Caenorhabditis elegans: one gene and its partner. The protein of the gene in region 1 purifies or fractionates together with the protein of each later gene. This does not show direct contact. Each region holds a gene or a part of one and is shown on either strand. Other genes may lie near its edges.

What was found. The genes of interacting proteins can lie anywhere in the genome.
Region 2: the proteins of ncr-1 (region 1) and F01D5.6 fractionate together in Caenorhabditis elegans (co-fractionation; one large-scale study listed by BioGRID). This does not show direct contact.

Annotation. Positions count from the first base shown.
Region 1 is NC_003284.9:4,483,498-4,492,010, reverse strand, and holds the start of ncr-1 (NPC intracellular cholesterol transporter 1 homolog 1), read left to right. Parts: upstream 1-3,153; 5' UTR 3,154-3,251; intron 3,252-4,846; exon of another isoform or gene 4,847-4,896; intron 4,897-7,726; exon of another isoform or gene 7,727-7,828; intron 7,829-8,513. Other genes in the region: F46H6.5 (uncharacterized protein), read left to right, coding at 66-171, 223-273. UniProt on the Caenorhabditis elegans protein: Involved in the uptake or utilization of cholesterol. Ncr-1 and ncr-2 act redundantly to prevent dauer larva formation under favorable growth conditions, and are required for the normal functioning of ADF, ASI and ASG neurons.
Region 2 is NC_003280.10:14,002,575-14,010,020, forward strand, and holds F01D5.6 (TPM domain-containing protein), read left to right. Parts: upstream 1-3,935; 5' UTR 3,936-3,936; coding exon 3,937-4,212; intron 4,213-4,543; coding exon 4,544-4,645; intron 4,646-4,706; coding exon 4,707-4,957; intron 4,958-5,155; exon of another isoform or gene 5,156-5,261; intron 5,262-5,263; coding exon 5,264-5,405; intron 5,406-5,459; coding exon 5,460-5,547; intron 5,548-5,597; coding exon 5,598-5,697; intron 5,698-5,767; coding exon 5,768-5,897; 3' UTR 5,898-6,014; downstream 6,015-7,446. Other genes in the region: F01D5.7 (Serine aminopeptidase S33 domain-containing protein), read left to right, coding at 6,092-6,109, 6,452-6,796, 6,869-6,990, 7,038-7,134, 7,184-7,353.

The DNA.
Region 1 (8,513 bases):
AAAGATTATCCAAAAAATGGCAATTGAATCGATAATTGTTTTCAAGTAGAGATATTCAATTTCAGTTACAACCGATACAACTTAACACCGATCGACAACAACAATAACTGTCAAAATTCCACCTCTTCACAGCAAAACAACATGACACACAAACCGAAGAAAAGTAAAAAGGTACTCCGTTATTTTGTGAATTTTTTAAACTTCTTTAAAATTTATTTTTAGGTTATTCGAGTGTTGAAAAATAAACGGAAGAAGAAGGCGACATCAAAATAGTTAATAATTGTTTCATTCACAAATTTTTTCTGTACAATCTATTTGTGGTACCTGAACGATCATCAGCGACGGTTTTGAAATAAGATTTTAATAAATTGGTTAGTAGAGTTTTGATTGTTGTGATCAGATTTGGTTTTGAAGTTCGAAGAAAAAATTATACAGCTTACATTTACACATAACTCGCATTTTTGTAAGATATTTGAATTTTAAATACAATTCTATTTATAATTTTCCGGATGTGCGTTGTGCAAACTACCCTATTTCAGGCTGTGGAATGTTGGCTCCTTCAGCTGATACCAGATATAAATTACAAAACAATTTTTTAAATATCGTGTTTCGTTTTGAAATAATTGCTTTAGTATTTTCTTGCGCAAACGATCATGACCAAAAGCTCAATTCTAACAACAAAATTTTTCTTAACAACTAATCAACTAGTCACACGATTTAGATCATTCAACTTCAGACCAATGTCAGAATTTTGAATTTTGTGAATAACAGACCAGTTTGATGGAAAACATAAAAGCAGGCCAATTTTTATGAACTCAATTAGTGTTTCTCACCTAAAAAAGATCACAGAGTAATTTTCTACGACAAAGGAGATTCGCGTTTGTTCTGCCGCAAGTGGGTACTAGTAAATCGCCTGTAACTGGTCTGTAATTTAAAAAACCAAGAGTACAGGCACGTAACACTTCTGTATTTGAAGTAGAGGTGTTTTACATCTGCTCACCCGCGACATACCAAACGCAAAACACCAGTGGACCAAGCACCAAGCTGGAAGACTTTTTAACATCTATATAACAGCTCACGTTTATATCCTTTACTCAAAATTAGACTGATTCATTACGCTGAACTTTGATGTTTTATTAAAACGTATTTTCAGATACTTGTTATCATGTATGAGTAGCTCAAAAATTGGATATGAAAAATATAGAGAGAAAAAAGAGCAAAAGAAAATTGGTCCAATTTGTCTTATTTACATCTTGCAATTCTTAGTTCCAACTCTTTCCACTTTTTGGCGTTGCCCTAGCTTCCAATCATCTATGTGAACCTCTAGACGCTATAAGGCTTCAATTTCGCAATCAGGTCGTTGGTTTACTCTATCTCTGACTTTGTTTTCTGGAGCTAGAGCATGTCGAAATTAAAAGATACGTTTTGGAGAGCAGTAGAAATAGAAAAAATTGGAGAGGAAAAGAGTGTGAGAGAGTCTAGTTTGGCACGCGTGACTAACACTGCTCGTATTTCAAGAGCAATCACCATTTTTTCCGTTTTTCTGTCAGCTTGTCATCGGGACGTGTATGGGTTGCAAGTTTTTGTGAAGAATTGAGAAGACCAAGTTTCATGAAAAATTCTAGTAGAAAATCAAAACAAAAACAAGCTCATCAAAGATGGAAGAGACCGATTCTATTTTTCACATTTCAGACCAGTTTGGTCAGTGATCTCGTAATTCAGAGTTTCAAAAGAACAACATATTTTTCTTGAATATTTCCGAAAAACATCAAAATTGATTCAGAGTTAATTTTTCAGCTGTTTCTAATTGAAACATACTGCTAGATGATTCCTTCAATGAGCCCACGATTTCCATCTTGGATTTTTATTTAATTTTTCTTTTCATTTGCAATTTTTATCTCAATATATAAAAAAAGCGTTCGGTGTATACACAAAATCCAAGATTTACTGAAAATGAGAACTCCGAGTGATGTCATGGACCGACATTTTCCGGGATCCAGCCGCACCGACCGAAAATCTTAAAACGGTAAATGTCGGATCAAGATAATATTCGGAGTTTCGATTTGAACTTAGTTCGGGAAATTTTTCCTAGTAATGGACGTATTCTAAATTTTAGAGTTTGTACGAAACTCCGCAGCAATTTTGTTATTCCGAGGTAATATTGTTCGGTAGAAAATATTCGGGAGTAATTGTTTTTGTTGATACATTGAAAAAGTGAAATAGCTGAAACTATATTTATTGTTCAAAGTGCCTTAAAAAATTGCAAAAACCGGGGTTATTTAATGGCACATATTGAAAATTTCAGGGGAGCGCTAGTTATCTAAAATCTCATAATTTCCGTCTCGTTGCGGTCGAAAATAAGTGCTCATTTTAAAGTTGTCCGCTAAAAAAAGGTGTTGAGAAATTTTCTTAGGATCTCATCATTAAATGTGGGATTTTTAAAGTATTCTGTCTTTTTGAAGATCAAAACAAAAAACTCAAAAATATACTTTTCTGAATTTTTAATATGATTTTTTGAAAATTAGAAAAATCTCAGTTTTCGCTACTTTTTTGGAAGTCGTCGATCTAAAAAAACTTCGAAATGTATGTTTTAATTTTGTTTTCAGTAACAATATCAAAAAACATTTTTGAAAAGTTTTACGAAGATATTTGGTGATTTTGGATCAATAGGAATAGTTTTTAACAACTTCCCCAATGTTGCTACTTGTCCTTTGAACAATAAACCAAGTTTTGCTACTTTAAATTTATCACCCGCTCTTTTGCATGAGATAAAGGATTAAAAATGTATTCAATTCGTATACCAAAAGCATAATCTCTCTCACTCATGATATCTCGAGCGTTTTGTTTCTGGAAAAAACATCAACTTTTTCGTCGGCGTCACGTATTCAGAATGCAAGACGCAATTCAATCGAGTTGTTGTCCTCTCTCTACTGCTGTCGCCGTCTTCTCTCTTTCTTCGGGTCCCAAGTCCACGTTCCGCCTCGTTTTCTCTTTTTTATCCGCTTTTTTCGCAGTATTTCTCATAGTTTTTTTTCGGTTTAGCTTCTCATCGAAATCCTCAATCTTACTATTGTTTGGTTTCCTCGTTTGCGTTTCATGATTTTTTTGTTTTAATAATTGCAAATAATTAATTAAAGATGTTATCTTTTTTGTAGACATCATAATTGCTATGAACGGAGCTGCGTGGTCATTAGAGCTACTGAAAGGATGGATGCTCTCTTAAAAACAAAAAGGACTGCACTTATGGACAGGTTTGTCAGTTTCCATAACAACTTTCAAAAATTAAAAAATCTGAATAATTAAATCACTATGGCATGTTTTTTGTAGTAAAACGATGACTCAATCAATTTTAAAAGAAGCCAAATTCTCCGCAACATCTCAGAATCGACTTGTTAGTCAATTAAGATTTCTCGTTTTTTCCCTCCCCACTTTTCTCTATATACCCTTAGTACCCTAGCATTTTGGACATCGTCCTGAATAGAATCATCTCATTAAATTTGCACTTCCACCATTTCCTTTCAACTGACCACCAAAAAAAATGAGTCGTTGCTGGCGTTCCAATTCGTTTTCTCAAGGCTGTATCCGTGAAAGTTTAAGTGACGACTACATGGATTTTCATTCCTGAAAGCCAGATGGTCATTTCTGTTTTTGCAATTTCACTTTGAAGATGTGTTCTAAATGGAATTCTAAGCTTTTAGTATTTGTAAAAGCTACCTATCCGTGAAAAAATTAAGATTTTGAAAATAAGAACATTGGAAATTTTTGATTCGCTTTTAATTAACATTTGAGTTTTAGTAGGTACCGCAGATTTTGAATTACAATGAAAAATAGCATTTCTTCACTGAATTTCAAAATTAACATTTTTTACGGAAAAGTTAAGTTTATCTCTTTTTTTTCAGTAGTCTTTTTTTAGCAAATTTTTGATAGTAGCTACCTTATAGTTATAATAAAAACAAACATAATGTTAGGCGAAATTTCTTATTTTTCAATTTTTAAAATAAAATTCTATGACAGAAAAAATAACTTTTGAATAGTATTTTTGTTTTCTAGTTTAATAGTTTTGTTGCAAAATTGTAGTTTGTTTTAAAATTAACATTATAATTGCTACCACAGATTTTAAGTTATAAAGAACAACATATTTTTTTGGAATTTTTTGGCTATAGTTTTTCTATATTTCGAATTGAATTTTCTGATGGAAAAAAATGCACGTTTTCTCAAAAGTTTTACAGTAGTTTTGTTGTAAATTTTGAATTTATTCAGAAATTTTATTTCAATTCTTTGTTGATACCTCCATACTCCAATATCTTCTTAAACAGTTTCATTCATTGCGGTTCATTTTCTATAATTTGATACAAAATATCAAAAGGACTCTGCTTCATTTTTAATATGTATTTAACCTTCAACTTTAGGTTTAACTTTAGAAAATCAATGACGGAATTAAAGCAATTTGATTTTTTTTTGAATTGTCTTAAAAATTATCAAAAATTTCTGAAAAAGTATCATTTTTGGCAATTATAGAAGTTTCCCAGTTGCTAGACAGATATGAAAATTAGAATAAACTGTTTCAAAACCAACCAAACATTAAACCATGAAATTCAAAATTTTGAAAACAAAATCAATACCGTTCTAGTATTTTCGCCGTTTTCCATAATCACTTGTGTCTTTTGTTGTATGTATGTAGTTCTGTCATATTTTTTCTCTTTCTCTTTTCTCTTCTCCACCTTTTTTCTCATTTTACCAAATTTTAACACAACACATACGTTTCCAAAAATGAGAAATAAAAATATCATAGCGTCACCAAAGGTCTGATACACTTTTTTTTGCGGGAAAAAACCGATTCTCTTTGAGATGTGTGAACAGTGTGATTCACTAACTCTTCTATGCTAATATTTAACAGCAACGGCTGTCGAACTGTATTTCAGGAGGTCAGTGTTATTTCAATTGAAAGATCGATTGGATTTTTCAACACACACACATAAGTCTGTCACTGGTTGTTTTCCATTTTCAAAGCAAACATAATTTTGTTTGCTTGTTGGTTTTAACTCGAATTATTGACGGAAAACAGATCGATTTTTGACCGAACATTATTCGTAAAGGCAACACTTGATTTTTGAATATCTGAAAAAAAAATCTGGTAAAAGTGATTAATTATCAAAACATTTTTTTTTGCATAAAATCTTCATTTCACTCTCTTAATCCTGTTTTTCACATATGCTCCGTAATCGTCCGGTGTCTTTTCCTTTCATTTTTTCTTCAGTTTCCGTCAAATAAGGAATCTGATTAAAACTTCTGTTTCCCACCAAAAACGGAAGTTTTTTTTTTCAAAATAAGTTACCCACCAAAATGTTAATTTTAAAGAATAAAAAAAGCAAAAGTGGTCAATGATTCCATCGACCTTTAAAGTTTGGATGTAGTTTACAAAATCGGATTTAATATTTTTCGCGGCAAACCAACTTGAATATCCACATTTTGCACAACACAAAAACCTGATTTTATGATTTCCAATCTCCATAACGTATAACCGTGAATCCAAGTATTCATCCTGCGGGAACCACTCAAAAGGTCATCCAAATGGTCATTTTGTTGATCCGTGACACTTCTTCCTTTCCTTTTACTCTTCATCTCTTCTTCTCGGTCGTTCGCATTAGAGAATTTGACACAAGATTTATATTTCTGACGCCTTTTTTTTTTTTAGATAATTTCGGGGTCAAGCAGGTGTTTTAAAAAGTGTTTTGTTTACGTTTCTTTTTGGATATGCTCTCATAAAAATAGATTTGTTATTTTGACGTCAGACGATAATATGAAAATGTTTACTGCATAAAAATTATATGTAGAGCGATCATATAGCAATAAAATGAGTCATAAGTATTTTAAAATTGCGAAATGAACATAATTGCTTCATGATTTAAACGTTTATAATTACTGTATATTTTTTGTGGTATTGTACAAGGTTTTAAAACATTTATGTTTTTTTGAAGAGGAGTACGATTAGTAGGAATGTATTTAAAACTATTTCTAGGATCCTCACATAAATATATATCAAAACAAAAAAGTTCAAAAATTTCAGATTTTTTTTTGGATTAAAAAAGCAGAGAAAACTAGGTTTTCGGTTTATTTTAAAAATCGTCGACCACAAAACATTTTTTTAAATTCCAGGTTATGTTTTAATTATGCCACAAATTATCTTATTTTATCATTTCAAAAGCTTAAAATTTCTCGAAAAGTGGTGTAATTTCGGTTTTCATCACATCTTGCATCAAAATATTAACATTTTCAAAATAAGTTGAAACGTTTTTTTTCAAATATTTTGTCGTTATAGCAGAAGAAAAATAAAGTTCAATCATTCTCCCACTGGCCATACCCCACCTTAAATAGGGAAGCAATTCTGAAATACAGACGATGAATTTACGGTGTGCTGTTTCATAGAGAAGTAAATATAGCAATCTCTAAAATAATTTTAAAAAATTTTGTTTTTTTTTAAATAATCTACCCAATAACACCGTTAAATTTACATATCAATAATTTTTCCATCGATCCGGTGAAACCACTGTCTTAAAGGTGGGGTACCGAAATTTGAGACTTTGCTTTTTTTGACCCAAAATGGTCCAAAACTACCGAATTTGGTAATGAGACGTTCCGAAAATTTTTCAACAAAAAGTTAACGCAAATATGACACAATTTTCCGTCCCCATTGGCCCAAAAAGCGTCTCAATAAACGGAACAACACGTAATAAAATGCCAAAATATGCTTTAAAGGATGATAATCAAATAAAAATTAAGTTCCAACCTTTTCTCGGTATCAACTATCAATTTCAGCCCAAGTTTAGCTGTGTGGTATGCTACACCAGACTACGCTCTAGTTTCTAGTTTTTTGTCAAACGATTGCATCTTTTTTCAACTTTGATAAAACCATATTCAAAAAAAATGAGAAAAAAATATACCTACCAAAAATTTCGAAAAACTATCATAGAGTCTCGTTCACAAATTTTGAACACCTCGTGGTTTCCGCAAAAAAACTAATGTTTGCTAAGAACTTGTTAAACGAAATGTCAAGATAATGTTGATCTCTAATTGTAAGATGCAACATTTGGCAGGACTCGAAGTTGTTTGAAGTAGCAATTCGGTAGCAAATGTAACACATCGTTTTCTCCATTTTGGGTTTTTTGATTAAAGTTTTTTGAAAAACTGAAAATTCAAGGTGAAAATATGAGTTTTTCAATAAAAAAAAATTCTCTCAAATTTAAGTAGTTAACAATGTATTAACTGCACACTGGACTAAATCGTATTACGTTAAAACTGAAAATGCCATAATTAAAATCTATGATATTTTTTTCTTACCTATTAAATTCAACAATGTTTTAATTTAAAGTTGTTTATATCTATTAACGTGAAGTTTAGCAAACAAAATCTGTGTGAACTAGTTCCATAGACAGCTTGAAAGTTCTGTTAAATTTCGAATCCTTGACTCCATCCCCCCTCGTTCCGGCTTCTCACCTCGCTCTTTCCCCCCGCAGTCAGTCGGCATTGCTCTATTTGCTCAACTGATTAACAGTGCTCCCGTCTATCTCTTAGGAGCTACACAGATTCGGCAACTTTTTCCCCTTTCAACTTGTTACTCTCACTCAATCAAACAACATCCTGCTAACAACTGACCATTTAATCCCGTTTCTCACTCTCACTGGACCAAACCGTTGCCGATCGGAGGAAAGCCGTCGTTTTCACACCAGGTCACAAGTACGGCGGCACGACAGTGTTTATCTTGGCTAAATCATAAGAAGAATTGACCGTCTCGTCGTTTCGGGTTCTTTTGACAGTGATTGAACGTTTTTGCCTACACACCTAAGAAATTTTACAACCCGTGAACTGCCTTAAGCGCCGTATTTTCATCAATTCTATTTTTTTTTGTTTTTCGATTATCATTTTCAAAAAATGCATGACATAGTTCGTTAAAAAACAACAAAACTCAAAGTTTCATAATCTATTGCATTTCATTTTTTCAATTTTTTTTTCATTTTTTCAAATTCATGGTGGTTAAATTTTTTCCCACAACAATTATCTTTATCCTAACTTTTTTCTAGCAAGCTGTTTTTGCTGACTTTTAATGTTTTTAGACATTCTGGAAGCTTTTTTAGAAAATTAGTTTATTCAGAAAGCAAAATCTGGAAAATGTTGTATTGAGTTGGGTGAAAAATCTTCTGATCTTTACAAAATTTAATAAATGAATACATAACTTACCAAAAAGCATCGAAACTAATTCTACCCCTATATACTCTTGAAAACATTTTTTTATTCGCAAAAAACATCTTTGGAATAATTTTATACAAACCTCGAAAGAAATGAAAAATGCAATGAAATGATCTTGGATAGGTTTGCTCCTAGTACGAAATTCTCTTCCACAGCTACTTTTGCCGTCACCTATTGCAACGGTTATTTTTCAAATGATAGGTTTTTTTGGAATATTCCAGAAAAAAAATCTAAAACACTTCCTTTGTTAGTTACACTTGAAAAACGTG
Region 2 (7,446 bases), on another chromosome or scaffold:
AACTTATTTATATTACAAAATTGGCAACCGACGCCGCGTGTGTTCGCCAACATAAAATTTACCGCACTGAAGCTACTTACTGTTTGTAGCCGACACCTCACGGGTTTCGGTTTTCACCGACCCCATCAAATCTGTAACATGCCAAAGCAGCCGACACTTTACGGATTCCATTTTTGTAGCGCAATCTAATCTAGCCAGCAGCCGAATTCCCACGGACTTTGCCATCCTATCTCAAAAGCACCTATATATTTGCAACCGACACTTTACGAGACGCCTAAACCCCTAAATTGTCGGCTGCGGATACTGCAAAACATTACAAATTGTTTCATTGACGCCATAATTCGGCTAAAATTACGTTCACTTCCAATTTGTATCACTCATTTTCATTTTTTTCATCTTCTCCTATTTTCTCTTTCAACGTCTTTTTCTGGCACCACCACCAGCAACGACACATAATCCAATTCTCTCCCCCATCGATCCCCGACATTATACATCCGCAAACCGTAATTACAAACATACTTCTGTGTCCTTTTCTGTCTGTTCAAATTCTGCCGAAATTCTGCTAATCGCGGCGCGGGACGGCCGGTTTGACATGACCCCCCTCAGGTTAAGCCCGATTTTTACATTCGATCGGTAGCTACATGGCTGGAGATCACCAATTTTTCTAGTTTCCATGAGATTTTTTTTAGTAGAAAAAACACTAGTTTTTGAAGTTGAAATGTGCATGTTTATAGTTTTATTTTTATTTTTAATTTAATTTTTTATGTCATGCGGTATCACTATTAAATACCAAATTTTTAGATTTTCCTTTGAGATATGTACAAACGTGCACCCATAGAAATGTGAGATATAATTTCCGGTTTTTTTCATATTTAGTTTGATCTGCCACAACATGCCAAATAAATTTCAAATATCTTATCAGATGCCAATTGGGTGGTGAGTGGCTATTGGAAATCAAGAATATCTCAGCGAATATTTGTGATATCTGAAAATTGTTAACTAACGAATTGTTTGAAATGTAATTTGCTACATTTTGTCAGTTTTGTGTTGTTTTGTTAACAGTTTTTTGATACCTCTAATGGCTGTAGAGATAGAAAAAGATGAAAATTGTTAATTGAAATGTTTTATTTCGAATTACTACTGCCATTCATACTCCGTACTGTTTACAGATTGTTCAAACAAACATTTAAGTTCTCACTCACTTGTTCAAAATTATTTCTTGTTCTCATCCTCTTCCTCCAAAAAATTGCTTATCACTGATTGGGTGTGGTTTGCCTAGAGGTGTCATTATCACCTCCAAGACAGTAGGATTAGCAAACAAAAAAAATTCTAAACTTATACAAATTTTGGTCTAAAAATAAATCTTGAAATTGAGCTGATTGGTCTTTGAGCAGAATTATGGAGTATAAAGTTTTTTGAAAGCAGCCGACATTGCGCGAGGTCGGCAAAGTACAGTGAGGTGTCGGCTGCTTTTTTTTACTACTAGGGAAACCTTCGCTGCACCCACTCGTAAATTGTAGGTCGCTTTTTCTTCCCACAACCCCGCTCCAAAAAAAAATTCCACAAGACCCCAAAAATTAGTTTTTCTAGTCACACACACACACACTTTCTGCAAGCTTTATGCCATCCTATCTCTAGCCTACATTATCTCTTGTTTATCAAGTTTTTGCGTCTTTTCCCTCGTATCCGATCAGACATGCCAATATCCACATACTGATAACACCCTGGAAGGTTCTTTGTCATCACTTCCCGACGGTGATAACAATATTCGTCATCATTTTTGTTGGCAGAAGAATTTTTAATTACTACATGTCTAGTTAGAATGAAGCAGCCGACTCTCCAAGATCCCTAAATGATCAGTAGGCAAAAGCAGCAGACACTTCGCGGGACTCAAAATGACTTGTCGAGCTAGACAGCCGACACTTTACGGGGCCGAAGTTTACTCATAGTAAGAAGCAGCCGACACTCCACGGGCCCTTAATAGCAGAAGCAGCCGACATCTAACTGTTCACACAACAGTCGGTGAATGTTGAATCAGAGAGTTAGTAGCCGACATCTGGCGGTCGTCGAAGGACGATAATTCGGAGGGATTGTGGCGGACATCTCACGGGTCCCAAAATTTTATATTTGGAGTGGCGGACGTCTGAGTGGAAACCCATTTGCAACTGTAAAATCAATGAAGGATATCTAATTATTTAATTTCCAATTTCTCCTCGAGAAAGCGAGAGTCATAAATAAAAATGCTTATAATATATATCTGGGGGTGGAAGTGATCATTTGTTGAAAATCGAACGTCGGGTGAAGAAGAGATAGGTTCACACACACACACCCAGGAGGCAACAACGAGGCGAACGATAAAGCCACCGGAGACGCAGACGGTCTTCGGATCTGGTTCGGCGTGTTGAGAGGGGGCATCAGCCGGTTCCTCTGAGGAGGGGGAAGAGGGGAGACGAAGAAGAAGATACCCCCGTCCGGTGAAGCTTATTATCCGACAGGCAGACGATTGTTGCTTTGACTTCTTCTTCATTGCCCACTTTTGAACACTTTTCAACAGGTCTCTCAAGATTTTTGGCAACTTTTTTTGCGACTTTATAGGGAGATTATCGGCTGGAGATTATGCAACATTCATAACTTTTAGTAGATCAATGATTATTGTGTAGAATTGGCTTCTTTTTCCTTGCTTAAAAAAAAATTAAAAATCCCCGAACAATTTCCAGCATTTTTTCATTTGAAAACTTCTTTCTAGACCTTACTGTTCCTGAGATACAAGCCTTTTTAGTCCAATGGGCTAGAGAGTGTGGAGAGGAGAGAGACGCAGGGCGCCTCGTCGTCGGCGTCTCCCCTCCCTTCACACTCTCTAGCTTTGCTCTCGCTAAACTGTGTGTAACTTTTTAACTGTAAAAGATACAAAAAAGTGGCAAGAGGCAAAAATGATCAGCATAAAATTTTCTATAAGCTGAAATCAAAATCTTTGGAAAATTCCAAAAAAAAAACTACTACAGCTGTCAGTTTTCAGCCTTAATTTATTACAGTGTACCTACTACAACTACATTTCCCTTGAATTTCCTCCAAAACTTTACAAAACGTTACAAAACCAAGCGAGTTTGTTTCTTAAGCATTTGCATAAGTGGTTTACAGTCCTCAGAAACATAGACACTTTGTTTATTCTCCCCTCCCCCCCCCCCATTCAAAATGAAAGCTTCTAGAATTTTCTCGTAGTTTACTTGGTAATGTATGCATGTGTAAACTGTAACTGTATATAATTGTATATATATAGAGACGTCTGAAACTCACAAAAACCACTTGAATAGCATTCTTGTGTGACTTGTGGCTTTTGGTGAATCTCGGCGAGAGTCACACACTTTTTATTCATTCACTATTTCCGTAAGGCTGACATGCCTAAGTGCCTGCCTACCGCCTATTTTTTGATATTTTCTCCGTATAAATTATTTTTAATTGTATTGAATTTCAAAATCAACAATTTCAAGCATTTTAAGATTTTCAAAACTGTCGAAGTCTAACTTTTCGAAAATTTCCAAAATATTGGAAAAAAATTATTTTTGGCAATAGGTAGTTTGTAGTTTGTAGTTTGTAGCTTGTAGTTTGTAGTCCGTAGTTTTAGCAGGTAGTTTGAAAGTATGCAGCTTTTTTTTGTTTAAAGTTTTGTATTCGTATACTTAAATACTTGTTAGAAATGTTCAATAGAAATTGTTCAAAAATATACATAGTTTGTGGTCATTGTAGTTTGTAGTTTGTAGTTTGAAGTTTTAATTTTTATTTACCTGTTTTCGGTCAAATATTCTTTTAACAATTTCCAGTTTTCTCAGTTTTCTAAAGAAACTGTTATAAAAAATCCTAAGCCGCTCTTCAAAATTTTTGTTTTTTTTTGCCGTTTTTGTGGAATCATACCTCTAAAATTTCAAATTTCATTACAGAATGCATCCCAAACTGGACCCTATCCTAATTCTCTTCCCATTCTTCTTCATCTCCTCCATAGTCGCACAATTCACATCGCAAACCTACCCAGATCCTCGATTAGATCCATTTTCATGTCGGTTGGCACTTCCATCGCAAGTCTGTGATCCGTCGGCTATCGTTTCCGATGAGGAGAGAAGTCGATTGGTGCAGAGGGTTAATCAATTGCATTCGTTGACTTCTGGAATTAAGAATACTTCTCCGTCATGTGCATTGATGCCTGATAGGAATTTGGAGGTGAGTTACTGAGTTGGACAATGTTGAAGTTGGTAGAAATGCGCCAGAAAGTCAACAGTTTCCGAAAATTTTTAATCCGGTTTAAGCCTAGACCTAGGCTTAGGCTTAGGCTTAGGCTTAACCGTAGACTTAGGTTTAGGCTCCGGCTTAGGTTCAGGCTTAGCCTTAGGCCTAGGCTTAGGCTTAGGCTTAGGCCGGGCAGAGCAGAAAAAGATTTAAAAAACGAAAAATGAAACAGTCCAAAGCCTGGCCAAATTTTTTTTTCGAACTTGCGTCAGAAAGATTCCAACCTTTGGCAGAAGCTTGCCAAGCTAAATCACTTATTTTTCAGATAATTGTCGCGATAATCGACAAAATCGGAAGTGTACCAGGTGTTCCAGTTGACATTGAAAAATTCGCCAATAACTTGAAAAGAAGATACCAAAACTTCCAGGTATGTCTTCTGAAACTGCTTTTAATTCTTAAATGTTCCTGTATATAATTTCAAATTTCAGGACGTTGGAATGTGCGACACTACAGTGCTCATCGTGAATTCTAGACAAGATCGTCAAGTGTTCACAGTTGCTGGTAGAGATGCCAAGATCTCGAAGGACACGTTGAAATCTGCATTTGAACGGAATATTGGGCATTTCAAGACAGGAAGATATGCACTTGGGCTGGAAGGAATGATTGAGGTCATTGTGGCAGCTTACTCGAATGCTCATATTGTGCAGGTCCCGACTCCAACTGAGTTTAGACCGACTGAGTGAGTTTTGGGGTTTTTTTGATTAGCGGCCCGCCAGGTGTCGGTTGCTATCTTTAGGAACCAGTCGACACATGAAAAACTGAGAAAGCCGCGGACATCTCACGGGCTTGAAAATAGTCTGAAACTGGCTTTTAGTAGACCTTGTAACAAAGGTGCAGCCGACATTCGGCAGGCTACTAAAAACACAGCTGATAGATTATGGGGTGCTCAGATAATTGCTGCAGCCGACAGCTCACGGGAATTAGTCGAAGCTGCAGCCAACACTTTCCTGGTCCTCTTTTTCAAAACTTACGATCAAACTTCCAGATTCATGCCAAACCCACCTGCGGTCTCTGCTGTTGAATCCCAACCATTCCGGGCCGCTGGTCTCCCGAACAGTGTGCAACAGGCAAAACGCCCATTCCCAGCTTTCAACACGATTCATGAGAGCATTGATGAAGATGATAAGGTAAATTTTGACAGAAGATTTCTATTTTTAGCCTAATTTTTTGAATATATTTAGGTCTGGGTATCAATCCTTCAGCAGGCCATGGCCCGATGTGGACAGAACGATGCAGATCTTCCAAAACATGTCAGAGCAGTTGTTGAAGGTTCGTTCAAGCTTTTTTAATAAAATTTTATATTAAAATTTTATATTTAGAAGCCATGAGTATCTCCTTGAAGCTGATTTCCGACTCACGTTACAACAAGATCGAGGAGGAGACCGAGAAGAACAAGGAAGTACTTGGAAACCGACAAAAGTGAGTTTTTTTCCAGACCCGTTAGGTGTCGGCCGCTGAACAGCCTAGCAAAAATACGAATTATTTTCAGAGCCTGGGACGGAGCCACCAACGACTTCATCCGCCCACTCTTCCAGAAGTACCGCAACTCGATCCTTTCCGGAGCATCACAAACCTGCCCGGTTAGCGCCGCGGGCACCAGAAAACGAAGACATTTCTAAATTTTGTATATTTTCTCTAACAATTTTCCACGACGGGTCACACATATCCTCTTAATTCCATTTTCAATTTTTCGATGAAAAAAAATCAATAAAAAATCCACGTCATTCCACGTTTTTGTTGTTATTTACACTTGCTCACAAAACAAAAACAACACTTTTTTCAATCATCGTTTAATTTCGTTTCCCATCTCGTCATGCTACGTCTCGAAGAGGTAAGTTAATTTTCAGTCGGTATTTGTTGGCTGCTTGAGTCATGCTTAGTCCCACGAGTTGTCGGCTGCTATTTTTGGGAAATTCTCAATTTCATAATACAAATCTTTTTTCACATTAAAATTGTTTTTTTTCTTTGCTAAAAATAATTCGGGTCCATAATGTCCCATAAAGTGTCGGCTGCTCGAGTCGGTTGCAAGTTTTAGGCGGTCTCAAGATGATTTCAGTTTAAATTTTAAACTCGCGAGGTGTCGGCTGCCAAACTAATCGGGGCTTTGCCAAAACTTATAGCATCTTCTTTGGAACCCATCAGATGTCTGGTTTTAAAAATCAATAATTTCCAGGACGAACCTTCCCCCGGAATCTGTGACCAGCTCCATGAGATCGTCCGCTCCATTGGCCTTCTATGCTACGTCGCATGCCCACCCATCCCATCGGAAATCATCCGGAAATTGGCATTCCACCCGCCAGACAAAGGAGCCACCTATCGGATCGAGCTGAAATCTGATCCGGAGAAGGATCTGGAAAGTGTTCGTGATTGTCATGACGAGCCTGTTCAGCTGGTGGTTAGGGATCGTGTGCATCCTGAGGTGAAAGTGTTCTCGGTTACAACATCTGAAGACAGTCATCTTGTGTGTGTTAAGTGCTCCCCGAATTGCTATTCCAAGAATCCAGAGGTCGCGAATCAGGTTAGTCATAACCTGCAGAGATAATGTCGGCCACAATTTTAAAAATTACCATAAATCGTCGGTTGCTTCCAGGTCGTACTCTTCTGCCAATCCAGCTCTGCCGATCTTGGAAGCTTCCTTCAGCCCAACTCCATGAACTTTTCCACGTTTGCTAACTTGTTCGAAACGGATGTATACGCCTTCGACTATTCAGGGTAAGAGTGCAATCGCGCTCTATGAATAATCATTGTTCGTTTTCTAGATACGGCTTTTCCTCGGGCACCCAGAGCGAGAAGAACATGTACGCCGATGTGAGAGCGGTATATGAACATATTTTGAAGACCAGACCGGATAAGAAGGTAGCTAGGATCAGGAATGTCCGAGATTATTAGAGAAAGATAATTTCAGATTGTAGTAATTGGATACAGTATCGGAACGACTGCAGCGGTAGACTTGGCAGCTTCAAATCCGGATAGACTAGTTGGAGTTGTGCTGATTGCTCCGTTGACCAGTGCACTGAGGATGTTCTGCAACAATCCTGACAAGGAAACGACTTGGTGGGGAGACTCTTTTCTCAGGTAGACCTGTTATGTGTCCGCTGCTAGTACTAGAACGGATAAAGCCGTTATTTAGATGTCAACTGCAAATACTGCCAAGTTAAAACCGTCAGG